Linked DNA regions of Rhinolophus ferrumequinum. The protein of the gene in region 1 purifies or fractionates together with the protein of each later gene. This does not show direct contact. Links are inferred from orthologs where the notes say so. Each region holds a gene or a part of one and is shown in the gene's direction. Other genes may lie near its edges. The genes, in order: DCAF7, FAM53C, CCT6A and CSNK2A2.

Region 1 (7,787 bases):
ACCCAGGTAAGGAGATCCACTTCACCTGCTATGTGTTCCCAAAGCAGGAGGGGCATGGGATCAGGGCTGTGGAACCAGCTAGAACAAGCTCAGGCTTTCCTTTCCCTCTTGCAGGTGCAGCCCCTTCCCTGAGCCTCTCAGAGGCATCTGGGCTCTGGCCTGAGTTGCTGCAGCAAGTGCCCCCAAGACCAAGGCACAGCCCCACAGACCCTCAGGGAGACCCAGACTGCTGGCCTCAGGAGCTAGGCTCCAGGCTAGAGCAGCTCCAGGCCCAGGTGAACAGGTGAGTGCCCTGCAGGACAGAGTTCTGGGCTGCAGAGAGCAGGCCCAACGGCAGGCTAGGCACAGGTGCCCCCTCCTGGTGACTTGGGGACATTACTGGATGTCCTATGAATTTCAGAATGGCTGACAGCATTTAATAGCAGGCTTCCCCATCCCTATGTCACTGAGCACAATTCCTTGGATGGCTTGTCCCAGCAAACCCCAGAACATGCCAAGGAAACTTTCTTAGGGCAGGGGCATAACCTCGTGCAGAAACAAATTCCATGGGCCCTTGGAACGGGGATGTGGCCTGTGGATGGCAGGGCTGTGGTGGCAGAGTGAGAGGTTAGGGGCAGAAGAGTCCTGAGTTCAAATTCTGGCTCTGCAACTTACAAGCAAGAGTGTGGGCAAATCACTTAATCACTCTGAGCCTCTGTTTGCCCTTTTGTGAAATGGGGATAATCAGAATACCCATGTCAAAGGTTCTTTATGAGGCCTAAATGATGTGTGCATGGTGCTTGGTCACCTTTATTGACAGAGGGGAATTTGGTGCTAAGGGGAATTTGGGGAGGGGCTGCGGATGGTAGCAGGGAAATAGCTTCAGGTAGGCCCCAGGCTTCCATTCCATCCAGCAGGAACAGCATGTAGGCTACAAAATGGAGAGCTGTCTTCCGGACCTAGACTGCTCTTACCAACCCTGACCCTGACCTTAACTAACCCTGATCTGCCCCTGACTGTGGGGTTCTGTCGGGTAGGCTGGAGTCCCGCATGTCCTCAGAACTCAGCCGCATCCTGCAGCTCCTTCAGCAGCCCCTGCCCCAGGGCTGCACTGGCTACATTCTGGGAGCCCCTGCCTCCAATGACCTGGCATTGTTTCCTGCGGCCTCAGAGACTCAGAGTCCAGGAACTAGGCTGCCCCAGGGCGATCTGCCCCCTGCACAGGTGAGCAGGTGAGGGGATCCCCAGGGGCTTGCCTAGAGGCAGCTGCATGCCTTCCCCCACCCCCAACTTGGTCTCAGTGTGGCATCAGGCCCAGGGCCTTGTGGCCTGAGAGCAGCCATGGCTTCTGCTGTCCTTTATGGTCCAAGTCATGACAGGGCAGCCTGGACAATTAGTGGCAAAGCCCAGTTTATGACTGAGACCCCATAGCTGGGGCAACGGTAAGAACACATAGTTCCTACCAATTCCCAGCCCTGAAGTCAGGGTGGCCTGGGGTGGGGGCTCCCCACACTGCATCCCTCACTCTTTCTTGCCCCTCAGACCACAAGCTATGGTGACTTGGACAAACATGGGCCGAAGCGCAGGAACTCCTCCCCCAGGATGCCTCACCTGGTCATGGCACCAGACAAAACTCTGACACTTTCCTCGGAACTGGAGCAGCCTGAGGGGCTCCTGTCACCCCTGGCCTCACCTCTGCGTGCCCTGGAGGTACAGGGACTCATCTGTGGTCCCCGCTTCCCCTCCCTCCCTGATCACCTCGGCTCTGTCCCCAGGCAGCTGGAATTCCAGAGACATGGCTCAGATCCTGGATTTGTGGGGAGTTAGAGCCACTGAACCCCAAGATAAAACACACCATGAGGGGATTAAAGGTGGGAGAGGTAAGAGTTACATATTTGGGGGAGGTAGACAGCCGCCAAAATCGTCCTCTGAAAACCATTCTCCTAGAGTAGCTACAAACGTCTAACCCAGGTGATCCAAGATGGCAGGGTAAGAAGGCTTAGGATTTTCCCAGACTCTTCCAGGGCTTTGTGTAGATAGCAGGCCTGGTGGAGGGTGGGTGAGCCTCGGGCATGGAGGAAGCTTACTGGACAGAGGGTTCAGTGAGGAAAGGAGAAGTTTCTGATCTTCTGTGTGAGAACTTTGCTCTAGGCTGGGTGCAATCATGTCCTGGATCAGAACTACCCACCGCCTCTTGGCTCAGCATCCAAGGTTGATCAGACTTCCTGCTGAGAGCCTGTGACCTGGCTGGAAATGAAAGTGTCCTCTGTAGTGGACATATCGGGGCACATAGCTCCAGCCCTCAGCTGCTTTGCCTCTGACGGTTCTGTGATGACCTTTGGGACTCTAGCAGACAGTGGAGTGTATCACAGCTAATAAAGTCTGCACATTTCACGTTGGGCTGGGTGTGTAACTTACCTGCGGGTTATCACGTCCTTGACTATGCCATGACCCCAACATCTTGTTGTCTTCTCCAAGCCCTTCTCACCGGAGGTGTGTGTTAGGCACCTAAAGGTGGCTCTGCTGGACCCAGGAGCACCTGGATCACGGGGCTTTTAGCCAAGCTGGAGTGAAGGGAAGCAGAGAGGTACTGGCTTGGTTAGCATAGGGAATCATGACAATAGCCACCACTTTCATAACACCCTGTGCCAGGCACTGTGCTACCTGCTCTGCAGATATTAGTTCATCTAATCCTCACAACAATCCTATGGGGTCAATGTTATTCTCCCCATTATAGAGAAGTGGGATCAGAAGCAGAGAGAGACTAAGAAACTTACACAAGCATAAAGGGGACCTCTGGGGGGGAGCTGATACTGTTCGGTTTCCTGATCTAGATGCTGGTTACATAAGTGCGTTTCAGGTTGTGAAAATATGTACACTTATACTTCAATTTAAAAAACAGAATTTTGCCCAACAACACAGGAGAAGGAGGATGTAACTTCAACCCAAATGGTCTGGCATGAGAATACATGCAGTTAACTACTCCACTGAAATAGGCTGTTGCAAAAAGTACCCAGTCACTGGTATTCAGTTCCTTTTGCTCCAATATTTCCTGAATAATTTTGAAAATGTATTTGCCCCCGCACATATTTTTAAATTGACATCTGAAGTATTTCAGTAATAAGTTTAAATAGCTGTAAAGGATGTAATTTCCAGTGTGTTGTAAATATTGATACTTTATAAACTGTTTCATTTATATTGATTCATTTTGATCCAAATAGCATAGTGATTTGAGAACCAACATCATTAATTTTAAAAACACTACAACAAACTCTTCTTTAACATCATTCTTTTTACTCTTTTCAAAATTCCATTCTATTCCTTCCAATTTATGCTACACCTAATTTATTTTCATGCTTTAAAGTCTATTATTGATAATCTTATCATATCTCTTTGCAACACGAACACATAAATTGAAAATATATAAAATGAAAAATTTAATTTTTTGTAATCTTACAAAGGCTTTCAGGGTTATACTTATTAGTTCAGAGTTTTTCAAAACAACACAAATATATCAAATTTTTATAAAAACTAAAATTTTATTGGAAATGCATCTCTTAAAAGAAGGTATTTTACTCTCAATTAGTTCATATGTGTGGATGAATATAATTTTTTATTAGAATAAGACAAGCTTCAGCAATACTTTTGTACCTACTTTTCTATCCTTTTTAAAAAACTTAAACACAGAGTAAACTTGTTCACATAAGTAGATGGGACTGTAAGGAGTTTGTTTGCATAGCAGTGCCACTCAATTCTTTGAATACTGAGTTATCTAACAACTACATTTATCATTAAAAACTGTAGTTGATGATATCATCTAATGTCAATACAATCCTCCTTTAATTCTGTTTAAAGCAAAGAATTGGAAGCCATTTAAATTGTAAAGATTCAGACATTCTCCATTCAAACTCACAACACAGATAAATTTAGCGCTTGATTAGCATTTGCCTTGGGATCCGAAGCGGGGAAAGGATGGAATGGGAACAGAAAGAAAACAAAACAAAAAGAACTTATTACCAAGCTGGTCGGTCGCTGCCTACTGAAGGGCCAACCCTAGAATTCCCAGCATTTCTAGAATGGACAGGAAAGCGCGGGAAGGCCTGACTGAAGCTGGCCTGGTCCTGATTACATGGGCGGGTTAGTGTGCAAAAGGCTTGTCCTCGGCCTGCCCTTGGGGTACTGGAGAACAAGTCTCTCGGCTTAAAGGGAGCGTTGGTAAGAGTGAGGAGGAAAGGTGGTTCCCATTTGGCTGGTGGGCCAGAGTGCCAGGCCGAGGGGCTTAGTGCCGCGAAATGCAACAGGCCCTTGAATAAGGCAGAATTTTAATTTTTACTCGACAGCATGTAGAAGCCGCTCGGAACAACAGCTGCAGAGTGGAAGTCAAAGGAGGTTACACAAGAGGTTTACCACTGTCAGAGATTTGGCCTAGAACTTGGGAGGCCTACTACTCCGCCTCTATGCCACCCACGCCCCCATTCACCCGCACTGCGCCGTTATCTCTTTGACTGACATTTTTGTCAGCCAATGACCTTTGGGGCTGAGAAAGCGCCTGCCCCTTGGAATTGGGCGGTGCAAGTAATTGGAATGACAAACATTTACACCAATAGCGAGGAGGTTTCAAAAGCTACCGGGTACAATAGCCAATGAGAGTAAGGAACCGTTCTAAAGGACGTATCAAGCAGCCAACAGCCGGCGCCGCTGCGGGGGACGCGTGACTTCCGTCCCGAGAGGGCGGGGCAGCATCTCAAACGGAAGGTGGTTATCGCCCGAGCCTTAGCAGTTTTGAAACTGGGGGTCGGGCTCGGCTGTCGTTGTCTGTCGCTGCGGCCCTGCTTCCGGGCTAGGCAGTCCCTGCCCGCCCCCGCCCCGCCTCCCTTCGGACCCCTGGGTCCCAGGCCCGACTCCCCCACCCGACTCACGCACCGCTTGCCGCAGCCCGCTGCCGACCCGGCCCGCACTGCGGCCCGGCCGCCGCTACCATGTCCCTTCACGGCAAACGGAAGGAGATTTACAAGTATGAAGCGCCCTGGACCGTCTACGCCATGAACTGGAGCGTGCGGCCCGACAAGCGCTTTCGTCTGGCCCTGGGCAGCTTCGTGGAGGAGTACAACAACAAGGTTGGTCGGGCAGGGCCTCGAAACTCAGCAGGTAGGGGGCGGGGCGAGCGGTCCCCTGGAGCGCCCTTTCCGGGCCGGACCCCCGACCTCAGGACCCTTCTGCGGACTTGCCTTTAGCACCATGGAGTTGTTCCTCTAAGTCTCGTCCTGAGCAGAGGGTTTCATATTCGTTTCATTTAATCGTAGCAGCATTCCTGTATAGTCGGAGTGTAGTTAACCCGTACTCCCATTTTACCGATAAGGAAACAGAGGTAAAATGTTGTGACTTGCCCGAGTCAGACATCTGTTTCGTGGCGGAAACAGATCTCAAACCTGAATTTACACCCAAAAACTACGCCATTTATCACTTGTATCTCCCTCTCTCCTGCCGCATTGCTTCACGTGGGGGGCGGAGGAGGGAGGGATTACTGAAGGAAAATGCTGGCGTCTCAGTTGGTGGCCATTCACTCCTGGCTACACTCGATTTCTCTTGGCTGTCTATTGCGCAGACTTCCCCTCGCTCTTCTCCCACCCCCAGGTACTATTCTTGAGGATACCCAGCCCCTCTGCTAGGATTGCCATTGCTGCCTTATTACCCTCCTCTTCAGTGCGATCTTTTTAAAAAATCTTGGCCAATGGCCTTGCTTTCACCACTGTTTACTGAATTAAGAAGGATGACACTTGCCACATCTTTTCTTGGCTTTTTCATGCTAATGTGGATGTGTAATCCTGAGTAGTAAGTATCTGTCAATTTGAGTAAGCCTTCATAGAAGCATCAGTAGCAAGGCGAAGCTTGCACGCTGGCAGTACAGCATAAACTTGTTTTTGAAAGTTGTTGAATAAGTCAGCGGGAAGAATTTTCTGGGCTTTACCTCTTAATCTCTTCCTTTTGTTGTATTAGAGTAAACGTTGTGATTGTTAGGGATCACAGCAATTGAAAGCCTTGGCTAGTGTGTTTAAAGCCAGTACTCCTGCTTGACTATGTGAACACGATGACTTAAGAATAAAACTGTGGACAGTGACAGGACAGAGAGCTAGCAGTTCTGACCCCTAGTTTGTTTTAGGAAAGGGGTTCTGTAAAAAACATTTGAATAATGTAACTTTGTTTACAGTTCTTCAGGAATACAGCTGTTTCTCTAGTGTTAGGTCTTTGAAATCCCTTTGCCCCTTTGAGAAACCGATGAAAGCAAAGGACTCTCATTGCCCCCGACACTACACATACACAGTTTACAAACAAATACCAGGGAGTGCATCCACTGAGGCCTACCTGATCTTGAAGTCCACCCATTACCCACAGAAAGCAGAGAGTCCTGGCAAGACAATTTTATTTTCTTTTTTCTGATGCCTTTCTTCCTGATGGCCATAGTGGACAGCAGAGCTGGGAATGGAATTCATGATTGTGATGTGGAAATCGCATTAGTATAATTAAGAGCACTAGAACTATTGTTTGAGGCAGGGGTGTCAAAACTGCGGCCCTCGGGCCAACTGCGGTCTGCAATCCATTGTTAATTGGCCCGCAGCAAAATCCAAAAATATATTTAGTTTACTTAAATAAAGCAGGTGAGGCAATACGTACTTCACCTCGAGTGAGAGGCCTGGCTGTTTGTGTATTTTACCGTATATGGCCCTTGGTGAAAAACGTTGAAAAAAGTTTGGACACCCCTGGTTTAAGGATACATGTTAAAAAAAAAAAAAATGTAAACTATGTATTTTAAAGAGCTTGAGTCTTTTCACCCAAATAGATGTTCTTTTTCCTTGCACATTTTTCCAGGATTAGTTTGGGTAAGCAATAGTAATTACATTTCTAAGAGAGGACAGACTGACCCACAATTAGGCTGCTGGTGAAATTAGTGGAGTAAATAGTGTCAAATCTCAGTTGCAGGAACTTTACCCCAAAGTTTGTACTTCCATTTAGCAACCATATGAGAGCTCCTTTGTGCCAGGCTTACATGCAATGTGGCCTTAGTAATATAATGCAAACTCATGATTCCAGTGGTAACAGCTAAGCAGTTAACTGTGTTTTAACTTGTGTGACATAGGTGATCAGCATCTTAAAACTACTTTTGTGCCCCCACGTATGTAGGTCAGGGTTTGTAACGTGTGTTCATCATGCCCTGGACACCTTTAGCAATCTGAAGCCAGTAGACATTTACTCTTAATTATGTTTTCAAATGCATCAAATACATAGGATTATGAAGGAAACCAATTGTGTTGAACTATAGTTATTAAAAACATTTTTTTAAAAGTGATGATAGAATAATATGTAACTCGTTACACCATCTGGTGTAATTATTACTGTATTTTTGAAGTAGTGATAAAGGTAAACAGCATTTCAAGATGTTTAACAACTGTAATGTGATATGAAAAAAATCAGTGATTTGTATTTGTGACAAAGTCACAGGTATTCATGCTGCTGTGAGGAGCCATCTCCATTTGTAATTGAAAGAAATGCTAAATTTCAGCTAGTGGTTAGTGAAAATATGAATGTAATTTTCTAATTCAAGTTCATAGACCCCAAGTTAAGAAATCCTGCTGTAAAGGATCTGTGCCGAGGGGCTGGTGGGCAGCAGTAATTCTCAGGGTCAATTTTGGGGAAACCTTGACATGGAGGTGCCAGATTCCATAATTTGCAAGAATTTAAAAATTATTGGTTGGAATTTTCAGACCTTTGGTTCCTGCTTGCCCTCGATAGTGATTGCCAGCAGAGGACAA
Region 2 (7,948 bases), on another chromosome or scaffold:
TCAGGTTTGAGTCTGAGATTTACCTTCAGGAGGAAGGGAAGTGGATGTAGATGGGGTCAATCACAAGCGAAGACCAGAGCAGAATTAAAGGTAATCTGGGGAAAGGTGGCAATTAACCAGACTACAATTCTGCTTTTTCACTGGGTAGGTCGGAGTCAGACTTTGCCGCTTCTCTCCTCAGAGGGTCGAAGCCTCGGAGCAAGAAAATAAACAGCCACAGGCCTTGACCATTCAAACCTTCCGCCCTCCCAATAACCTATCCCGCTCGCCTCTAAACTGCGTCAGCCAATCTCCGCACGCCCGCCCAGAAACCCCTCGGCCAATCGTTTGGCTGGTATATCAACCGGAGGCGTGAACTTGAGCTGGAAGGAACACAATTTGCCCCGCCTCACAGCCAGAGCAGAATGCCGACTGGCCCACTGGCGTTCGGCAAGGGGTTTAGTAAGCCCCGCCCCACACGGAGCCTGGCGCACCATTGGCTCTGCCTCTGGCCAATCGCCACACCCATCTTGAGCTCTCCCTTTGCTCAGCCCCTTCGTCCCCGGGAGATTTAAATTGCACTTTGCTCCGCGGTCCACTCGTTAGGTTAATACCTGAAGACATTAGTTTCGATACAAGGGTGTTTTATGCGTTTCTTTTTCCTTGGTTCTTTCTTGTGTTGTTACATGGACCTTTCCCTCTTAGTTTGCTAGCCTTCCGCTGGAAGTGGAGCATTTGTCGCCGGTGTGGCAGATGTGGCGAAACAGGTGTGTGTGTATTTATGCTAAACGGCATTGGCCCCTTCCAAGAGGTTTCCCTGTTGGGTGTCCCTTTTAACGCACAGCATCTCTGAGATGCTAGGTTATGTGAGTAAAGGAAATTCCTTTTTACGGAAAGCAGGGGAGTTGAATCATCTGTTGGCACAATCCTCATCAAAGTCCAAAGGATCCCAAACTTTGGTTGTTTATGGAAATTTGAACATTGGCTAGGTGATAGTAAGAATTTATTCTTAATTTGGGGGATTTGCTTTTAAGTAATCCTGTGGTAGTGGTGGTGGGTATAGACCAAACAAGACTGGCCATAATAATTGGTTGATGGGTAACCGGGGGTCCATTATGTCAGTTCTCTTAAAGTTTAGGCTGCATACTAATCACCTGGGGGATTTTGTTAAAATACAGATTCTGATTCAGTAGGTCTGGGCTGGGGCCCAAGATTCTTTACATCAAACAAGCTCTCAGCTGATGCTGATGCAGCTGCTACAGGGACCATAGTTTGAGTAGCAAAATATTATGCTATTCTCTTTACTTCTCTGTATGTTTGAAATTTTCTATAATTAAAAAAAAAATGTTTAAAATAATCTTGGGAGCTCTTTAAAATACAGGCCTCCAAAATGAAGATTCAATAGGTCTAGAGTGTGGCTGAGGAATTATCAAGGTCCCCAGGTGCTACCCCTGCAGATGGCTTGCAGACCACACTTTGAGAAACATATCAGAAATGCAACCTTTACCTTTTAGAAACAGTAAGTCAGAAATACAACCTTTATCTGGTGTCAGGATCTTGGTGGTGGTAGTAGTGGCTGAGAGGTGCAGTGTAGCAAGCTGGATTTTGCCCTAACACAGATTCATCTGTAGAATCTGCTTCCCCAGGAAGGAGGTGTGTGAAGATTCTTTGTCCTCTAGGATAGAGATGGTAAGTGTGGGAGTCAGCACAGAGCCCTGCCATACCAGGTGAGTGAAAATCAGGCTGGGGATTAAGGGAGGGTGGGATGAGTTGGTTTCTGCTTTGATAATTATAATCACACTTCATGGAGCCACTATATACTTCTCTGCAGGTGGGAGGTAGAGACAGATGAAATTGTCCTACAGCGGAGGCAAAAGCAGATAGATTATGGCAAGCGCACACCTGGTTACCAGTGCTTTCTGCAGCAGGTCCCCAAGTGAGTGCCCATCTTAAGCACTCCCCCAAGTTGTGCATAGTCACAATAAGAGAGTCAATCAAGTGGCTTTGGTTCAATGTCAGGTGATGGAAAGATACTAGAATCTGAGTGCTCTCACAAAATTGCAGCATTACTAAAACGAATTATCCTGCAATCTAGCCCCCAAATTAAGTTTCCAAGATTTTTTCCAAATGGAACAAGTCATACTTGGCACATAAGACTTTTTTTAAAAGTCTATCTTTTAAAAAAAACTATCCATGTTTTTGGATAATGAAGTTTTTTTCTTTCCAATCATTTTTACCTCATGCCTCCAACTGACGTGGCTAATTGCAACATACTTGCCCAATTACATGTAAATTTGCATGCATACATACAAACTAAATGTATGAAAAGGTAGAAAGTATTTGAACAGGATATCAAATACTGTCTTTTATATCTATCTTGACTTCTGAGGAAATTGGAATATATAATTTACCATTTCCAGAAGAAAGAATATTAGGGAATTAGGAAGGTGATGTTTAATCTGATTGAAGGTTTATTTTTTTCTGTTGGATCAAGAGAATTGATCATACCTTATTCTCAGAGACTCCCTAACGAGTCTCCTGTTTTACTGTGATAAGCAGTGAGCCGTGCCCCCTCACCTTGACCTCATTCTGACACATTTGTCATTGCCAGGACACAGCGACAGCCAGGACTTCACCCTCAAACACCAAACAAAAATAGGAGGTACAGTCGCCGCTCCTGGGATGCCCAGATCAGGCAGTGGAGAAGAGCCCTACATTCCTGGGATCCCCCCAGCCAACCTCTGCAGGGCACGGGGGCTAAAGGGTGTGTGCATTATTCTTGGTTCCTTTCTTGAGTGGTGGACTGAGTCCTACATCTCCCCCACTTTGCAAAGATTTAGCTTTCATTGGCTGTAAAGGAGAGTCTGAATGAAGTGCATGTTTCTCTGACTCTGCTGCCTTCCCAGGCAGGGAATGAAGAGTCTCTTAGAGCCAGTGGATTCCTCCCTTTTGAATAACCTCCTGGATGACTGGTTCCAACCCCTGGAATCTTCACAATATGGATGGAGACCAGAGGGAGCCCAGGTAGTATCCTCTGCTGAAATCCACTGGAGCAGGGTCAGAGATGGGGTCTGGTCCAGGAGGTCACAATTAAGATGGGCTTCAAGGTAGTAGTCCAAAAACAAAACAAAGAAAATGGGGCAGCAGGAAAAAATAGCATGACATGAATTTAAAAACTTGAGAAAAGTGACATAAGGAGATTTAATTATAGTTAGTAATGGGGAGTTGGGCTGCACTGGGGGCTATTTTATACTTGATGAAAGGTGTATAATTTTCCTTTGAAGTGAGGCCTGAAACTTAACTTGCGGGGCTTGTTATTTTTTAACTGCCTCAATTTCTGTCAATGTTTTGCAAATGAGCCAATGCTAACTTCTTATACTCAATCATTTTAGTAAGCATGGTTAATAATAAAAAGGGGGATCACCTAGTGGCGAAGACCAAGGGCTTTAGAGCTTCAGACTCTTTTTTTTTTTTTTTTTAAATACTACCTTTGTCCACCACATGGGCAGTCACTTATCATCTGTCAAATAAGGAGATTTTGACTCATTTGATGATTGTAAGCAAAAATGAGAATACATATTTAAAGTGTCTGGCACATAATAAGTGTTTTACAATAGCAATTATTGGAAACCATGTCTCCTGTAACTTCATGGCCCCTACCCCTGCTCCTTCTTTTCCCAAGGGCAAATGTGCAGGGCAAGGAAATGTGAAGTACATCTTCCCTTCACCCCCCCATTTTCTTAAGTACCTCACTTTCCCTCTTCTTTTCCAGTTTGCAGACTTGGTGGCTCCTGCCTTCTCCCTTCCCTGGCTCTGTGAAGAAGATCCCCACCACTGGTTCTACTTTCTGGCTGATCACAGTTACTTATCTGTCCCAGACTTGAGTGAGGCACAGAATATTTAAGGAAAACAGATGTCTTTCCGGGGCCTTGTTGCTAAGTGTAATAGTGAGGATTTACTTGCATTACTGTTACTTTCCAATTGATTAAAAGAGAAATCTAAAATCCTGCCCTACAAAAGAGATCACAACAGGGAGGCATTGTTTAAAACCTCTCCTTTTTCCATCTTTTTGTCTGTCTCTCTAAATCTTCTTTGATAGCTGAGACTCAAATTTACATAAGGACCAGAAACCATCTAGCTGTTCCCCAACCTCTTCACCTACTACGGACTACATTCAGTCTCTTCAGAAAGGACTTAAACTTTGGCTGAGGTGGGAGGTGGTGGCAATGGTGGAGAGGTAATAAAAAGGTGGTTTCCTCTTCCTGAAGAGGAAATATAGCAACATCAACATCTTTTCCCCATCTGCCTGTTTTCCTCCCTCCTTCCCTCTCTTAAGGAAAGTGGTCCAGCTGTAACCACCGTACTCCCCCCACCCCCCACGCGAGCTACTGAACCGCCTATGATGTCATAATCACAATCCCATTACCTCATCCTATTGGGGGGGTGGTGCGTAGAGGGAGGAGAAGGAGTGAACAGCCCTGGGCCCTCCTCAGCTTTACTAAGTGTTTGGGGTAAGGGCTAATTACAGAACCAAATGGAAATGGCCCCGCAACTGTTACAAGTCCTGGATTTATGAGGTTCGAGCCGATCCGGCCACTGGAAGAGGGGCTCCTGGGACACAGAGCAGGCCCTAATCGGCGCTTGGACTACACTTCCCAGAATCCTTCACGTCACGGACGGGTCCTCTGCTGGGGGAAGGGGGATTCCTTCAGTGAGGTGGCCCTAGAAAGCGGGACCGGAGAGCAGGTGAGAGGAACCTTGGCTAATTGTAGTACGCGGCCCGAACCGATTAGGGGGCTGTACTTGGGCCCATGTAGGAATGGAGGGTGGGGGCTATGGCTTTGTTTACCTTCGTCTGATACGGCCTCCCCCGCGGGTTTCGAGGTATGCTTCCAACTGGGCCGGTCCACCTTCTGCAATATTCTGGAGGGGGTGACTCGATAATGAGGAAACCGTCCTCATCCCTAAATCAAGAAGCCGGGCTCGTTCCTGACAGCGTTATCCAAGAAAGACTTTGACAGAGAAACAACACGGGTCTCGAGCCTCCCGGGGTGGTTCAGGAGAACTCTGTGAACCGGAGCGATTCCCCCACTCTCCTCAGAGGCCTGTTGGTTTGCGCCGGCGCCTTTTAAGGGCACCGTGGGGCTAACGGAGCGCTCAGAGCTGCTCCGGCCGCGGCCCTGGGAGCTGAAGGAGCCGCGGTAGGTGGCGGAGGGCAGGTAGCGCTGGGGCCTCGGGGCGGGCACCTCGGCCGTCCGTCCCTCCTTCCCCTCCCCCAGCCCGGCCGCCTGCGCCGCACGGCCTCGCTAACCGCCTCCGCGGGGAGAGCACGGGACCCGGTGGGGGAGGGGGTGGCGGAGTGCTAAGTCCCAGACCTTCTCCATCCCCCGAGTCCTGAGTTCGCTTCTCGCGGCCAGATGATGGAAGCTGATTGGGAAGAGGCGAGCAACACCCCCTTGAGCGAACCCTAGCGCGCCCCCCCCTCCCGGGGCCAGCGGACGCCCCATGCCCCACCCCGCGGGGACTGGCAGGGCAACCGAGGGAGAGGTTTAAGATTGGAGGGGGGGCCTAGCATTTTGCTTCTTCATCAGGGTGGGGGGAGGGGTGCTCCCCACTTGTTACCCCATCTCCACCAGAGCCATATGGGAGAAAAGCAGTCAAGTCCCCACTTACCTGTTCATGCACCTCCCTGCTTCCCTCATGTTTTCTTCCAGTCTCTCCCAGAGGTGTGGGGCTGGGACCTGGGGAAGGGTCCCCAGGGGATTTGTGACTCTCCTCCCTCTTGGCCTGACTTGATCCTACCTTCTCCAGGTTTCAGCACAACCTCAGCATCCCTGAAACCCGAATGTCAAGGGTTACTGCCATCCAATAGAAGATGGGATGGGGGTCCAACCTTTATTTTAGGAGGCCGATGGTGGAGGGAAAGCCTGGATTGAGAGTTGGGCCTGGTGGGGTTGTGGGGAGGGCCTTGCGGCCTGCTGCTCTGTAGAGGGCTGAGCCCCGTGCCAGTTGTTAAGCTGAGAAGTTTTAACTTGTTTAGTGAACGTTCAGGGCTGTCTCTACCCCTCAGATATACAAAATGGAAGGGGAAGGAAGGCGGCAAGAGAGGGCTTCTTACACATTTTTCTATGCCTGCCTGAGAAAGAGGAGGCCCCTGGCGGAGCTGGTTTGCCTTCTTTTGTGTCCTGGTTTGATTCCTTATGGCTTCCGTTCTGTTCCCCCTCTCAGCCTGGCCTGTTTTAGGAAACTCAGGCTGAGAGTATCAGTTGCGTGGTGGTAGTTGCATTGTTCCAATTACCGCCGTGTGTGTGTGTGGCCACATCCCAACAATTAAAATGCAGAAAAACACGAAATCACTCTCTTCTCTTGATCCCAGAGAGGGCTGGGAGTTTGCTGTTTGGCCAAATGCCTCATGAAAAGCTCCAAAGACTTTTGCTTCACTCTCTGCTCCTCATGGCTGGTCAGTCAGAGGTCTGGGCTTTCTGGGGTAAAAGCCTGCAGTTAGGTTTCCTCTCTGGTTGATCTTTGAGGGCAGAGTTAAGAAACCAAGAGCAGAAGTGATATAAGCTTTAGCTTCTTCCACAAGAACACAGGGGAAGCAGCTGAAGGGAGCTCTCAGGAAGCTGGAACTTTGTTCAGGGTTGTAATAATTATGCATGAAAATGATAGTTGACTATCATGACGATTGACTTCTCTCACATCTTTCTTCCCCCAAACTCCAAGTACATCCGTGTGTATTTCTTTGATTCCTTGTGGCCTGCTTCCCTCTGAAGTGGGATTGGGGTAGAGATGAGTCCTTCTCTTTTGTAAAAGTAGAAAGTGATCTGCCTCCAAGGTCACAGAAGAGCCCTTTAGGGTTTCTCTTGCTATGCAGGTGACATCCAACCAAATAGATAAACCCGATTGATTGCTTTCTTGTCTTAATGATATCATCACTATGGCCTTCTGAGGCTTTGTAGAGCAACAAATGGGAGGGGTGAGAAACTGCAGCCTATGTGGACTCTTGGTTTGTACAGGCCAGATGGTATGCTTTTTACATTTTGATATTTCGTGTTATATATTGTCCCTGTGACAGATTCAGATTATTCTGCCTGTTTTATATGTGGGTCAATTGGGACCAAGACAGGTTAAATGATTTGCCAAAACTGCCATAGCAAATCGGATCAAGACTTAGATTTCTTGATAGTTCTACTAGCGAATGCTACCTATACCCTCTGGTGAGCTGTCTGCTGCTGGTCATTTCTGGAAATAGGCAGAATAGTATGGAGACGCTAGGTTAACCTCCTCCCCTCCCTGGAACAAGGCCCCTCAGGCAATGGTGTGGGCTTGAAGCCTGTTTGATAGAATTAGTTTGCTTCTACCAAAATTAACCTGAGAAAGAGTCTTGATTAATTGTATTCATGGTTTTAGATCAAGCTAAAAACTTGGTTGAATGAAATCATAGAGTTGTTTTTAACATCTGTAGAGTTGAAATGTAATTGGAATTACCCTGGTACCGTTTCCTTATCTTCTCGTTTTATAAGAGAATATATACAGTGTCTGTTAGACAACTATAATACATCAGCTGGTCAGGCTAAGGAAGAACTTAAAACCTTATTTACTCTGATCGGTCTGAAGCAGAAAGTCATTCCTTGCTGCTCCTCCCTGTTCCCTATTATTATTTCTGTAGTTTAGGAAAAGGGTACCTCTCATTGCTTTTGACTGGAAAATAAAAATATTGGGCTAATCAGGATGGAAGTGACCATTTGGGCATTCCTCTCACTCGAGCTGTTTTCTAAGTGGTGCTGGTATTCTGGGTAGACAGCAGAGCATGAACCAAGTTAGGAGCGGCAAATAGGTTTCAACTTGCCACCTCCAGTTCATTTTTCTGCATATCTGGAGTGCCAAGTTTAGAATGTGTCTACGGCTGTGTTTAGGCTTAACAGGAAAGAACTGTGATCAATTAATGATGTCTGCCAGAGGCCTGGCG
Region 3 (7,582 bases), on another chromosome or scaffold:
ACGGCAGAGCAAAAACTTAGGGCACTATGGTAGTTATCCCAATAAGAAATGATCATGGCCTAAACCTGAGTGGTGGACATGGGGATGGAGAAAAGTACATAGAGTGGAGAAGGGTGACATCTAGAAAGTAGGTGTGAAAATATTCAGGGAGCATGTGAATATGGGAGCCTGAGGCAAAGGAAGCAGTCAAGGGTGAAACCTAGGTTTCTGGCTCTCCCCTAATACAACAGTGTGACCTTGAGTTTATCATTTACACTCTTTCTGTGTTGATGTAATCATGTGTGAAACTGGTTTAATATAGGGCTTCAAAGGATGCATATTAGGATCAAATGCAACAACTGATGGGAAGGTGCTATGAACATTATGTAGTTAATTGCGTAATATGAACGGCAGTGGCAAATAACACCTTCCATGTCTGGCACAATACAAAGCATGTTATACATGCAATCTCAGTTTTCTCTATGATGTCATTTACCCCTACTTTATAGATTAGAAAATTGAGTCCAAAAAGTTAAGTAACTTTTCCAAGGCCACATACTGGTAAACATTGCAAACTAGAATTCAAACTCAAATTATTTCACTCTGGGATACTTTCCAATACACCACCCTGCCTCATTAGGGTTCTTTCCTTAAAATGTTCTTTATTGAAATCCCTCCTGATTCAAATAGCTGAACACCTGCCGCCACCTCTATTTCTTCAATCATGGCATACTATGGGTCTGCTCCCACAATGTGACTTTTTGTTTAAAATTCTCCAAACAACATTCTAAAGTTCTCCCATCCTATACATACATTAGCATACAGGCAACACTCCCCTGCTACTTTATTTTGCATCATATACTGGAAAGAATTAATTTGCTTGAAAGTGTGATAACTAAGACTAGAAGAATGATATATGCAAATAGCTTGCCTCTAGAGGAATAATGAGGGTCCTTGTTTTGCTGACTTTGTCTAATTCCTGGTATGATGTTAGTGGAGATGCCTAATCTAATATTCTGGTATTTGTTCATTATGGATTTTTTGCATAAATTTTGCAAAAATAACTGCATTAAAGCATTCATCTTGATTACTGAGTTTTGGGTGCCTCTTAAATTTTGCACCTCAGGAGAGTGGAAGTCTTTACACTACCCCTTTCCCTACCTGCAAGTAGATGACTGAAGTTCCACAATCTTCATCTCTGTTCATGTCTCCCACACATCTCTAACAGTAGCTAAATAAATCTGCATGCACAGCAAGTAACATCATGGGGCTCCTTCTACTGTGTTGTGTTATACTATCACTCAAACTTATGTAGATACTTTTGGGATTTTCAAATATACAAGCCTACATAAAAGCATTATATACCAGGATATTCACTGTAGCCTGAATAGAAGATCTGGAACAACCTCAACGTCCATTAGTAGGTGACTGGGTAACTATGTCATTCTTACAAAGAATATCATGCAGCTGTTCATGAGGAATCCCGCTGTTTTCACCTGCTCCCCCTCCCCCCAGCAGTGCTGGGCTGCATCGTGCTCACTCCCAGCTCCTGCTAAGCCAGTGCCACTGTTGTGTCTTTCCAGCCACCGTCGTGATGATCTACTGGGACCAAATCAGCCACGATGAGATGTTCTCCAACATCTACAAGATCCAGGAGACTGAGGATGGGCTGTGCCTGGAGGTGGAGGGGAAGATGGTCAGTAGAACAGAGGGTGATACTGATGACTCCCTCATTGGTGGAAATACCTCGGCTGAAGGCCTGGAGGGCGAAGGTCCTGAAAGCACAGTAGTCGCTTGTGTTGACATTGTCATGAACCATCATTAGCAGGAAGACAGCTTCACAAAAGAAGCCTACAAGAAGTACAAAATGATGAAATCCCTCAGAGGGAAACTTGAAGAACAGAGACCAGAAAGAGTAAAACCTTTTATGACAGGGGCTGCAGAACAAATCAAGTACATCCTTGCTAATTTCAAAAAACTACCAGTTCTTTATTGTTGAAAACCTGAATCCAGATGGCACGGTTGCTCTGTTGGACGACTGTGAGGATGGTGTGACCCCATAGGTGATTTTCTTTAAGGATGGTTTAGAAATGGAAAAATGTTAACAGAGTTGGCCATTGGGATCCATCACCTGTCATCATAACTAGCTGCTGCTTTTCATCCACTCCCCGGTCTAGAACAAATAGGACTGATGTTATCTTGAGCTGTTCCATTTATTTTCACCTTGATTTATTTGGAGTGGAGGCATTGTTTTTAAGACAATCATATCATGTAGATTGTCTAAAAATAAAATGCATTTAAACTCTTTTGAGAGAATGTCTCTTAGTTTAATACACATTTAAAACCATTCCTGTGTAGTGTTCCTGGAGAAGCTAGAGCCTGTTAGACCATTACTATAAAGTGTAAGACTGTCTTCAGATAACTTCTACAATGAAAACTACTGGGACTGGAATATAAAAAACAAGGATCAAAAGTCTAAATTCAGAGTTGAGTGAAGGGAAAGACCATGCTCACAGTAAACATTTCAAGTGGATTCCTTAGACATTTCATCACCTGCAAACGGAAGTAGTTAACTCTGGAAGAGATTACCAAAAGAATAAAAAGATATTAATACAATTGGGGACAAAAATGAGGAATCCACTTGCATTGATATTTTACAATCTCCAAGGTACTTTAACACACCCAACACTGTGTATTATAAATTGCCATTTTGTGAGGGGAAAATGCTTATATTTATGTATGTACAGAGGGTGCCAAAAAAAGTATACACATTTTAAGAAAGGAAAACTGTATTAAAATCATAATACTTAGTATATACCAATAACAAAAGATGAATACAAGTCACATTTGACCTCTGCAATTACAGGAGGGGCCCAAAGCAGTTACCATCAGTGTCCAAACACTTCTGATTAGGGCTAACTACTGCTTGAGTAATGTTGACCAAAGTGTCCACTTGTATACATTTTTTTGGCACCCCAGTATTTATTTCTAAATTCAGAAAGCATCTGGGAGAATTCAGAGCATCTAAAGGTTTAACTATGCTTGTTTGGAGGAAGTTATACCAGCAGGAAGAAGTCTTACTTTTATCATATACCCTTTGGTACCTTTTGAATTCTGAACAATTTTCATTATCTATAAAAATAAAAAACAAAACATTACTGAATACCTCGTACTTGGAGGGGTGGGGGAACTGGATGCTAGAAAACAATTGTAGATATTTTTTTCAGAATTTTTCTGTCTTCAGTGTCCTCTCAAAGGCTGGACAACACTGCTCAATCAAGTTTGAGTTTTCAAACTTGCCTTGAGGGTCTAAGGCCTCAGCAGTGAGTTTTGAGCCCAGAGGGTGAACTGACTTGCTTCTCCTCAAAGTCCACACCAATCCCACAGATTTCTAAAGGCATCTAGCACTTTCTCCCTTGCATTCTCCCTTGCATTGTATCTCTTCGTCTTCCCTAGACCTAAAACACCTAGGATACTAGGCAAGAATAAGAAACATCTAAACCTGTAGAGAATTATGAGTTTATTTATTTTTATGAGTTTATTTATGCTGGGAAGCAAAATCTCAATGGAGTGAGAAAATGCTCCGGAGAATGGCAGTTTCACAGCTTATTTTATACATTAGAATCAAAGGAGGCATAAGGAGGGTTACATGAAATCCATTGGTGGTCCATTAAGGAGGTGGAAGAAAGCATAGCAGAGAAATCTCTGGGATTCCATAAAAGGCAAAAGGAAGAAACACGCTTCTTACACTGGTGGGTACAGGATAGTAACATTTACAGCACACAGAGATGGTACCTGGGAAACAACATAATGAGGGGCTCTGTGGTCTTGTGCTCTGGTGCCAGCAGTTGTGCCTTTGGAAAAGAAAATTACTCGGACACTTCAAAGATACATTATCCTAGACGCCTACGCTATGGCTCGAGTTCCCTTAAGGTAAAGGCTAACCTTTGCTACGGAAGATGTAGGCCGACCTGCTATTACCTGCCCAGTTAGGAATTTGTGATCAGACAATCTTGGGTGGTTACTTTTCATCACTGAGTTTGTCAGGACTGCACGTGGCCCCGCTGAGCCTGTCAAGTTTATTACATAACCCTTTTCCATTCACAATCCTAGTCAGATTCACTACAGTAGCCCCACATGACCTAGAACACTAACAAGCACATAGGATGCAGTCAAGAAAACTGGTGACAGGGACAAAAGAAGGGCAGGAAACAAAGCAAACTCCGGAGGGAGGGAGGCCACTGTACAACCTGCGGTCAGAGACCTCCAGGAAGGAGCGCCAGCTCTCTAGTCACCCAAGAGGCGGACGGGCGCGCGGCCCACAGCCCCAACCTCCCGCTGAGCGGGACTCGGTCGGCCCCCGCTATGTCCTCAGGGCTCGGTTAGCAAAGCCAGCGAGGACACCGGAAGCTCGGGAGCCCTTACCGCTCGAGAACACGCTCCCCGCCTCCCTGCGCAATGGCGCCGAAGCCCGGGAGTGAGGGGCGGGGCCGCAGGCGGCCGGCCATGCGACCAAGACCCAATGAGCGGCGCCGGCCGACCGGCGGCCCAATGAGGGCGGCGCGTGGGCACGCTGGGGGCGGGCAGGGCGCGCCCGACTTTTCCAGAAGACCCGGATAGCGCCGCTGGGCCACGCTGAGCCGGCTGTGGGCGATCTTCACGCCTGCTGTTTTCTTTTTCTGCTGCTGGGTCAGTTATGGCGGCTGTGAAGACCCTAAATCCCAAGGCCGAGGTGGCCCGAGCCCAGGCTGCGTTGGCGGTCAACATCAGCGCGGCCCGGGGGCTGCAGGACGTGCTGCGGACCAACTTGGGGCCTAAGGGCACCATGAAGATGTAAGGCGGGGCTGGTGGGGGAGGGCCGGGCGGGCACCGCGCACCTCGTGTGGCCGCGATGCCGGCAGTCGTGGTCTCCAGCCCGCTGCTTCCGGGCCTGTGCGCCCGTTGCTTCTCCCCTTTTACCCCCGTTCCCATGTCAGGCCTGTTTCCTGCCCCGGCTGTTTTCTCTTGTAGTCGATGCATCCTTCGCAGAGAACAAAGCTGCCCTCGTGCGCGGATCTCTGGGACTAAAGCGACCCTGAGGACGCGCGGCACACTGTTTCTCAGAAGGGAGGGGGTGGGCACTGCGCCATTCCTGTTAACCGGGAGTGGACGACCAACTTAATGGCCGCGTGCGGCTTCTTAGGATCTGGGTAAAGCGTGGTGTCGATGGGAGTCAGTTTGGTCTCCGTTGAAAAAGTCACATTGATTTCGTTTCTGCTCATTGAACAGGCTTGTTTCTGGTGCTGGAGATATCAAGCTTACTAAGGATGGCAACGTGCTGCTTCATGAAATGGTGAGAGGCTGCTATACGTTTAAAAGGTCTTGGTTTGCATTGGAGGTTTAATTTGTAGGGAGATGTTTAATGTTTATTCTCAAGGTAGGAGGAAATCATATTCATCACCTCTCAACAGGCCAGTCTTACAGACAATGGAGAGAGTAGGAAAGTAGTCTAATCAGTAATGGTAGCCACAGTATGTTACAGTGAGGAGCCCTGGAGTCTGATACTTATTTATGAATAAGACAAAGGTCTTGTCATTTAAGGCCTTTAAAGGATTGAAATTATTAAGATTCTAATCTGAAAACCAAGCAGTTGACACATTCACATAGGCAGAATGAGACAGGTTGTTTGTACTTTGTCTCTTTAAAACAGCAATTTCTCTGTTACCTGTCATCTCTTCCATCTTCAACTGGAGGGGAGATAAAACGCCTTGCTTAACCATTTTAAAAGTCCTGTGACCAAGAATCTGAGATTATTGAGAGGATCAAAAATTTTACACATCCATAAGTTCCCAAAACTTAGCAGTTCAAATCCAAGAAAAGGAAATGACTTGCCTGTGTTTTGAGTTAAGAATAAAATGTAGGGCTTTGATAGTAGGGTACCATGCCTTCAGCATCCAAATGTAATCAGTGGCCTGTGCTGGCTGAGAACACTTGGAGTCATAGTTGAAACTTAATATCAGAAAAGACGTAGCTACATGGTTTTTTTTTTTATTTTACTTGATTTTTTAAATTGTGAAATACAGCATAAACATAGAGAAGCACATTAAACATTTATAGCTTAACAAGAAACTGTAAAGGAAACAGAAGTATACAGTGTCACCTCTGTGTTGGTCTTGCCAAAAATAGCAAATGTAGATAATGAGATAGTCTACAAGGTAATTGGGCTGGATTCTTAAAACTGTCAATGTCCCCAACGATCTGAAGATTAAAGGGTAAAAAGCAAAAGCAGTGCAGGAGCCTTGTTTGAATCCTTTCTCATTAAGAATCTGTGCGTGATATTGGAGACTTGAAGAATACCCTGTTCTTCCAAAGCCTTCCCATGCAGTGATTTAGCATCCACTGATGACCTTTGCTAGGAGGGCTATTTCTTTTTAATTGTTTGATGCCGAATAATATTGGAGGCTGCTAAACTTTTATTTTAGAAGTTACCTGATTTATTCCCACCAAAAGCCCTTAATTGAGCGTCAAATTTCCTTATCAATAAAGTGGAGATAATCTTGAGAAATATATACATGACAATATTTTGGTCGTCAGAAACAATGCAAAATAGCTAATGGTGACTTCTTAATCAAAATAATATGTAGCTGAACACTTGGGTAATTTGTGCAAATACATAGCATTTAAGGATGCCGTTCACATTTTAAGGTATATTTGTATTGTTTCAAGTTACTTAATTTTTTTTTCCTTTTTCTACTTTCAGCAAATTCAACACCCAACAGCCTCCTTAATAGCCAAAGTAGCAACAGCCCAGGATGACATAACTGGTGATGGTACCACTTCCAATGTCCTAATCATTGGAGAACTGCTGAAACAGGCGGATCTGTACATTTCTGAAGTATTACATGATTCTTACGTGTTTCTGTGATACTTTATTGTGTATAGAAAATAATCTGAGTTTTATTTATACAAATTGATGTGTTAGTAGTAGCTGAGGCTATATATAGTAGAATGTGAAGAGCATAGCGGCTTAAATCTGGGAACCAGAGTCTTTATCTTGGTCTCACACAAATTAATTGTGATCCTAGACAAGTTAAAGATCCTTCCTGGGCCCTGAAGGTTTCTTATTTTATCAAGTTGCATTGCATGTATGACATATGTCTGTCTATAATGTAGACTAATAATTGAAATCAGGACTAGGCATATTTATAAGGAAAAAGCCAACCAAAAACGGACTTAAGAATTCTACAACTTTTTTTAGCCCTGAGTAGGTCCAAAGTTAAAGCAAACCTTAATAAATACTAATCTGATGTCAAGAAAAACTTCTTAGGAAGGCAGGAGGCAGACTCTTAGTCTCCCTGTCTACTTTTTCTTGGTAAATGATAATGAATTAATTTCAGATTACCTATAGAAAAGATATAATGGTCCTATTGACTGCAGGTTGTTGTGACACTTGAGTTTTTGTCATTATTCCTTGTAGTTTGCACAGTGAACACCCAAGTGTGCTTTATAGTTCCCTTGGCTTTGACTCTGTGCTAGAGCAATGTCTGTTCTTCTCCTCTGCATTGAAAGGACTATTTATCCTTTTAAATGTATTCAGAAAGTCAGCACATTATATTAATTGTAT
Region 4 (7,099 bases), on another chromosome or scaffold:
AACCCACTTATTAAAAAACCTTATATAATAAGCTTTTTCTCATCACCAAAAATTCCTGATAATCATAATTTTTAATGATGCCTAATAGTTCGCTATAGGTACATAACACAATTTATCTAACTGGTCCCAATAAGGGATATTTAAGTTGTTTTACATTTTTATGATTAAAGATGATGATTTTTATGATGAATGTCTTTGGGTCTTTGGGGGTGTGTATTGAGTCAGAAAGGGATTCAGGAAATGGACTGAGTGGTCAGAAAGACCTGAGTTCAAATCCAGCTCCACCTCAATTATCCGTGGCATTAGAGTCTCAATGTCCTCAACTGCAGAACGGGGATCCTTGCAATAGCTCCAATCTCATGGAATTTGTTGTTGTTGTTGTTGGAAACGAACAGCCTTTTTATTTTTTTATTTTTTCATAGAATTTTTAAAACAGCTCCCTTGAGATACAATTCACATACCATATAATTCACTCATTTAAAGTGTAAATTCAATGGGTTTCAGCCTCAGGGTGTTTGCAGGTTTCAATGATACTGAACACACAAATTGTCACCTCTGTTAATAATTCTTTGGTCATAATCAACGTTATTTTCTTAGTCTAGGTTCTTAGAACCAGCAATACAGGATAAAAGCCCAGAAACCTCTCAAACAGTTTTGAAAGTGGGCCTTATGAAGATAGAAAGTATTCTTCTGAGAATTTAAAAGTTTTGTTTTGTTTTGTTTTGGGGGGGTGTTTGGATAGACTTTGGGGGCATAAAATTGTTGGGCTATTTGACTCACGATGCCCTCTTTTATCCCCCTTATGTAACCCTAAATTATAATCACCCTACACACAGAATACACCCAGAATAATTAGGGGAAGTCGATTCGGGTTCACTGAACCTCCCTGCCCTGTCACCCACTCCTGCAGAGCCGTCGGCCTATTCCTCTCCATAGGCCACTGAGACTTCCTCCTTCAGTGAGGGTGGCATTGGTGCCATCTCCAATTGCCCATCTTAATTCACGCCAAGTACACTCATGGAGGGCTGGAAGGAAGACTAGGAAGTGGGTCTCCTCCAATTTCATGGGGTGCCCAACCAACCTACCTACCAACAAACCATAAAAACACACTCCATTTGGCCGTGGGAGGACTGCCAGTGGATTTCAGGGCTGAATTAACGAAGTGTCAGCTAAATCCAGGAGCCTGTTGTACCAGAGTGACGTGTGGGTGAATCCTTAGGCATCACGGCAGGTGTGGGAGCAGGTTGCGTGAGATGGGTGTGGGTTAGGTGGTGAGGATGAAAGGAAGGTGCAGGGAGGGTAGATGGAGGCAGAGGTGGGCGAGGGTGATGGTGAGGAATGGGGCCCTGGCTGGGGTTGGACCTAGTAGTTAGACCAGTGGTTTGGAACCATTTTTGGGTCATGGCCTCCTTTGAGAATTTGATGGATCCTAAGTAAAGAATGCACCCACCCACCCACCCACACACACACACACACATCCACAAATTTTGCACAGTGTTGGGGGTTCCTGGAACCCAGAAAGCTCATCCAAGAGCTCAGTATTAAGAACCTCTGGGCTAGACTAGTTCACAGGGACTTGTCAGAAAGAAATCCTAAGGCTCGTTAAAACCTTGAGACTGTGTGTGCGAGAGATTTGAGAGGTTTGCAGGTTTGGGAATTAAATTCCAAAGTCCACTTATTCTACAAATGCTTTGTTTTCTTCCATTTTTTATTTTGAAAAATCTTCAAATCTGCCAAAAAGTTGCAAACTCATGTAGTCTGTAACTACGTTTTCCACTTGTCAACATTTATCCCTAAATGCATCCCTCTCCCCACGTATGCCTGTGCTGTCAGGCAGGAACACATGTTTTTCTGTAGAACCAATAGAGTAAGCTGCAAGATACTATGATACTTCTTCCCTAAACGTTTGGCATGTAACTCTTAAGATCAAGAGATTATCCTGCATAACCACAAGAGAACCCTCACACAACATTTAACATGGACAACTATCATGTAATAGGCGTATTCTATTCAAATTCCCCCAGTAATACCAATAGTGTCTTTTTAGCTGTATTCTTTCTACTTCCCCTTTTTCCTCCTTCTTGCCCTCCCTTCCTGCCTTTCTCATCCAGGATTAAATCCAGAATTATACACTTCTTTTAGTCATATCTGTCAGGCTCCTTCAATCAAAGACACTACTTCAGAGATTTGTTTTCTCTTGTGACATTGATATTTTTTTTAATAGTCCAGGCTAGATGGTTTGTAGAATGTCCCCCAGTTTGGATTTGTCTGATTGGGTCCTTGTGATGAGATTCAAGTTAGGCATTTTCGTCAGATGTCATGTCCCTTCTCGATATATCACATCAGAAGGCCAGAGGTCCCTTACTGATGGTAAGTTTGATTTATGGTTAAAGTGGGGACCTCCAGGTTCCCTTTTGGAATTGATAAGTGGGTAACACTGTAAGACTGTTTTGAAAGTCTCCAACTGTGGCAAATTCTGGGGGAGCCAGAGGTGAGCATCCAGATCCAGTCCTTGCTCTCATGCTGTTTTTACTGCGGAGGAGACAGACAATAATCTAGGAAACAAGTAAATAATTACAAAATATGCTCTTGTCTTCAGGATATGGATAGGGTGCTGAGATAGAGAAGTATCAACTCTAACATTTAAAGTGAACTTAAAGGTGAGACTTGAAAAGGAATAAGGAGTCAGGCATGGGAAGGTAGGAGTGGAGGTGGTGGAAGTGGTCAAGCTTGGAGTTGGAAGGAACCAAAAGATGGGCTTCTGGTGGTCTCAGGGAGGGAAAAGCGATAAAAGAAAGGCTCTGGTCTTGTAATAATAATATTGTGCATTTGGTATCTGCTAGACCCTGTTCTAAGTGTTTTGTACGGTTTACCTTGTCTAATTCTCCCCATAACCTTGGGAAGTAGGTGCCATTCCTGTTTTTATGCCATAAAATCCACAGCACAGAGAGGTTAAGTCATTGACCCAAGGTCACACAGCCTGTAAGTGGTAGAGCTGAAATTCAAACCTGGATGGATCTGACTCCACGATCTCTACTCTAAACTATGTCAAGAAGGAGGAAGCAGGAAAAGCAAGAAAACAGAATGTGGAAAATAACTGGAGTCAGAGCAACCCAGGCTGAGTATGGAAGTTCTGTTGATAAAGGATTTAGAATGGGAACACAAGACCACAGAAAGCCCCATAAGATCAAAGAGAGAAGAATTTTAACGGCTAGGAGACAACATAATAATATAGGCCAAAGTTGGGTTGCCCATCCTGCTCTCAGTCCATGCACAACCTCCAGCTTGTCCCTTCATGGGACTCTCACAATTCTTCCCCTGCTCTTCATCCTCCCCCACAAAAATCAGGGTATTTACATGGTCTCCAGTGTCTCCCCATAAATCGCTTTTTAATTACAAAGGGAAAAATAGGAACTTGACAAGAAGCAACCTGGCTGACTCCAGCTTGACCAAGTGATGGAACTGAACATTCAGAGGGGTCTTAGACAAGGCTCTGGAAGAAAAATCTGGGGTAAAGTGTAAGAGAAGGATTTTTTGAGGAAGGCTCTGGATGAAGAGAGGAGTCGTGTTGGAGGAAACGATGGGTGACTGGGCAGGATCCAACCGGGAAGAGGGGGTGTCTCTGGGAGGGATGGAGAAATCTTGAGGTGGGGAGGTTCTGAGTGATAAGAGCGAGTCATCATCGGAGAGGGACTTGATGGGAACAGTTTGGGTGACAGGAGGTCAGCACAGGGTCCGTTCAGTAGGGAGGTCGGGGTGAGTAAGCTCTGGACGACTACAGGGTGGAGGGCTTAGGACAGGCGTCTCCAGGACAGTCCTGAAAGGGTATACGAGGGGTGAGGCTCTTAGGCAGCAATCTGTGGGTGGGGGAGGCCCTGTGAGCTCGTCCCGCCAGACTGAGGGTGGAGAGCTTTAAAAGTGGGGGTCTGGGCGGCGGGAGCCGGGGGCGGGGCCGAGGGCGGGACCAGCACCGCACGGCGGGTCCCCCCGCGCTGCAGGGGGCGCTGTGAGCCTGGGCGGCCCCGGGCCGGGCGGTGGCCGCTCCTAGTGAGCGCGGCCCTTTTCCGGGTTCCCTCCTCCTCCTCCTCCTTCTTCTCCTCCTCCTGGTCGCTGCCGTCGCTGCTGCCCCTTTCCCGGCCGGCGGCTGCCGCTGCTGGTGCTGCCGCCGCCGCCGCCGCCGCCTTGGGGCCGCGAGCCCAGCGGAGGCCGCCGCGGAGCGTGAGCGCCGCCCGCCCCACCGCCCCGCCGGCCGCTCCAGGGCCGGGCCGGCTCGGCCGGCGCCCCCCGCGCCCCCAGCCCGCCCGCCCCCGCGGGCTCGGCCTGGCGTGGCCGCCCGCCGCCGCGCTCCTCCTCCTCCTCCGGCGCCCCGCGGCCCGCCGCCTGCTCCGGCCGCCGCCCCGCGCCCCTCGCCGCGCGGCCGCCCTCGGCGCCCCGCGGCGCTCCCCGGTCCCGCCCGCCATGCCCGGCCCGGCCGCGGGCAGCAGGGCCCGGGTCTACGCCGAGGTGAACAGCCTGAGGAGCCGCGAGTACTGGGACTATGAGGCTCACATCCCGAGCTGGGGGTAAAGCAGCCGCCGTCCCCCGCCGGGTCCTCTCCCCCCCACCCCGCCCGGCCGCTCCCCGGCGCAAACCGCACTCGCCCCCGGGCGGTCTGGCTGCCCGCGGGCCCCTCTGCTGGTCCGGCGTGTCCTCGGATCTGGGGTGGGAGGCAGAGCCTTGCCCTTGTCTCCCTCTCCCTGCCGTGCCCCCCCCCCCGGACCCCAAGGAATGCTTTCTCTCTGGGGAGAAGTGTTGGGTCCAGGGCCTGGTGGAAGGGAGGGAGCAGCCCTTCTCACACGTTTGGCTTTTTATTGGGGTGGGAAATCAGCAGCTGTCCTCTTGAGCTATTCGAATTTTCTGCTTTTTTAGTTTTTTTTGAAATGAGGCTGGGTGGGAGGAAATTTTTAAAAGACGTCCAGATACTCAAAGCTGGCGCTGTCTTAAGGGTGTGAAATAGAAGGCAGGTGTCGCGGCGCGCCGGGCAGAGGGCTGCCCTCGGAGCCTCCGGGGTAGATGCTTTGCTCCCCCGTCTAGATTGGCACCGAGCAGTGCCTTCCTCCTTCATCTCCACAAGTTACCAGGGACCAATTAGGTGAGGAGCTCTGAGCAGAGTGAAAGGAGCCAAGTTTATGTTGTGGCGTTCTTTTAGGGAAATGAGTTGTGGCGTGATGGATACACATGTCCAAGTGCTTGGTTTATAGAAGTAGCTGGATGGGGATGTAGAGTGAGCATAGGCTTGGTTAATCCCAACTCCTGGCATTGATGTTTCTCTCTTGCCTTTTACAGTAATCAAGAAGATTACCAACTGGTTCGAAAACTTGGTCGGGGGAAGTATAGTGAAGTGTTTGAGGCCATTAACATCACCAACAATGAGAGAGTGGTGGTAAAAATTCTCAAGGTGAGTGTCTTACGAGTGGCATTACATTTTTTACCCCCTCCACAGGTCAGAAGGATACAAATTACCCCAGCCACATTCTAGAATGAGCAATTCAAGCTCCCATTTTACGTATCTTCTGTCTGATGTACCCCCACTACTCCTCCCACCCTATTTTCCTGTGAACTTTCAAGAAAATACGCGGACCTGTTTCAAATTGAGGCAGGATCGCTCGGCAGCATCCTTGTTGGAAATGTATTAGGTTGGTGCAAAAGTAATTGCGATTTAAAAGGTTACAAATACTTGCAAAAACCGCAATTTTGCACTAATCTAATAATTACAGCTCCCAAAGTGAATATTCTGAGGGGGCTCCACTTGTTACAAAGTAAGTAGGTGTTCAGAAGAAAGAATAGCCTTTCCATGAAGATCCATCATTCCAAGGGCTCCTTGAGCACTATTTGGTTACTCTTGGTGCCCTTAGTTATCCCAGAAGGAATGTTGGAAAAAATGGGAGCTGCTCCAAAGATGAGTTTGCAGCCTGAGTAGAGGGAAACATCTCAGTGGATAATCACTTGTTTCTTCTTCTTTGGCAACAGAAGTTTCAGGTGGGTAGGTGTAGTGAGCCACTAGTGCCAGAAGGTTCATTGTTGATTATCAGCCAGTAGAAGTGAAATTGGGAGCAGTAGATGAGTGCACTTTTCACTGCTGAAATAATAATTGGAATAAAACAGTCTTAGTGTTTGGTCGAGTAGCATGTTGGACCTTTTGTCGTCTCTTAGATGAAGATACGATCTCTTTTTTCTTTTTTTGAAGACATGATCTTAATGAGCGTGAAGAGTTGGCTAAATTTTCCTCAGGTAACTGATTGTGTAGCTTTAACCATATTTTATAGGTTGTCCTAAAAAGTAATTATTAGAATCTGTGAAGTGTCCTCAGCATTGCCAGATCATTTAATATGTGTGCATGTAATTTATGAAATATTGAGAAGACCAAAGAGTAATCTAAGCACTTCTACAGGTACAAGATTTCCAATGTGGCCATTTTACAGAATTTTCTGTGAATAAGAATTTGGGGTTGAAACACTTTGTGTCTGAAGGATGGAGTTAGGGTAGCTGTGTCCCTGTTTAATATGAGAGGTCAAGCTTATACTGTCTGAAAAATCACCTTTTAGAAAACTGATCAACTCTTAGTACCATCCAAGCCTAGTGATGAAGAAGCAGAGTTGCAATAGAGAGAAATAAGTTCTTCGTACTGTCAGAAACACGGGGGGTAAGAAGTGAGAAACTGATGTTGAAGATGTGGTGTTTGACTCCCCTCTTCCCTAAATATGAATGGTACTTACAAAGTCACATGGTCTTTACAAATGTAAATATTTAAAGAAATGTTCCTTTCAGAGAGGCCACCTGGGGAAATCATACAATTTTTTTCCTTTGTACATTAGTGTAAATGTTTTTAGTATAAGCTGCTTAAAATCTTTCTAGGAAGTAAGCAAGGCATAAATGAAATTAGAAATATCTGTATTCTGTTGCTGTGCATTCAGAAGAATGAACTGCTTACTCTAAAGCAAATCCGGAAAATTGTCTAAAGTTTTTAGAATACATGCAATTTCCTGTGGTCTTTTTTGAAAGGAACAGTGTCCAGGTGTACACGTAAGTAACAGTACATTCATTTAGGAAAGTGTCACAT

Evidence for each region.
Region 2: the proteins of DCAF7 (region 1) and FAM53C purify together in Homo sapiens (affinity purification with mass spectrometry; 3 studies listed by BioGRID and IntAct, counting the BioPlex papers as one, with this or other methods). This does not show direct contact. The link is inferred for Rhinolophus ferrumequinum from reciprocal best matches to the Homo sapiens genes DCAF7 and FAM53C.
Region 3: the proteins of DCAF7 (region 1) and CCT6A purify together in Homo sapiens (affinity purification with mass spectrometry; 3 studies listed by BioGRID and IntAct, counting the BioPlex papers as one, with this or other methods). This does not show direct contact. The link is inferred for Rhinolophus ferrumequinum from reciprocal best matches to the Homo sapiens genes DCAF7 and CCT6A.
Region 4: the proteins of DCAF7 (region 1) and CSNK2A2 purify together in Homo sapiens (affinity purification with mass spectrometry; 8 studies listed by BioGRID and IntAct, counting the BioPlex papers as one, with this or other methods). This does not show direct contact. The link is inferred for Rhinolophus ferrumequinum from reciprocal best matches to the Homo sapiens genes DCAF7 and CSNK2A2.

What each region holds. Positions count from the first base shown.
Region 1 is NC_046304.1:42,212,734-42,220,520, forward strand, and holds the start of DCAF7 (DDB1- and CUL4-associated factor 7), read left to right. Parts: upstream 1-4,740; 5' UTR 4,741-4,958; coding exon 4,959-5,096; intron 5,097-7,787. UniProt on the Homo sapiens protein: Involved in craniofacial development. Acts upstream of the EDN1 pathway and is required for formation of the upper jaw equivalent, the palatoquadrate. The activity required for EDN1 pathway function differs between the first and second arches.
Region 2 is NC_046307.1:13,421,306-13,429,253, forward strand, and holds the start of FAM53C (protein FAM53C), read left to right. Parts: upstream 1-4,942; 5' UTR 4,943-5,180; exon of another isoform or gene 5,181-5,198; intron 5,199-7,948. Other genes in the region: oocyte-specific histone RNA stem-loop-binding protein 2-like, read left to right, coding at 1,666-1,706, 1,811-1,915, 2,591-2,743, 2,886-3,006, 3,752-3,883.
Region 3 is NC_046290.1:99,864,935-99,872,516, reverse strand, and holds the start of CCT6A (T-complex protein 1 subunit zeta), read left to right. Parts: upstream 1-4,535; 5' UTR 4,536-4,675; coding exon 4,676-4,812; intron 4,813-5,247; coding exon 5,248-5,311; intron 5,312-6,718; coding exon 6,719-6,853; intron 6,854-7,436; exon of another isoform or gene 7,437-7,570; intron 7,571-7,582. UniProt on the Homo sapiens protein: Component of the chaperonin-containing T-complex (TRiC), a molecular chaperone complex that assists the folding of actin, tubulin and other proteins upon ATP hydrolysis.
Region 4 is NC_046298.1:10,605,840-10,612,938, reverse strand, and holds the start of CSNK2A2 (casein kinase II subunit alpha'), read left to right. Parts: upstream 1-4,088; 5' UTR 4,089-4,458; coding exon 4,459-4,562; intron 4,563-5,325; coding exon 5,326-5,437; intron 5,438-7,099.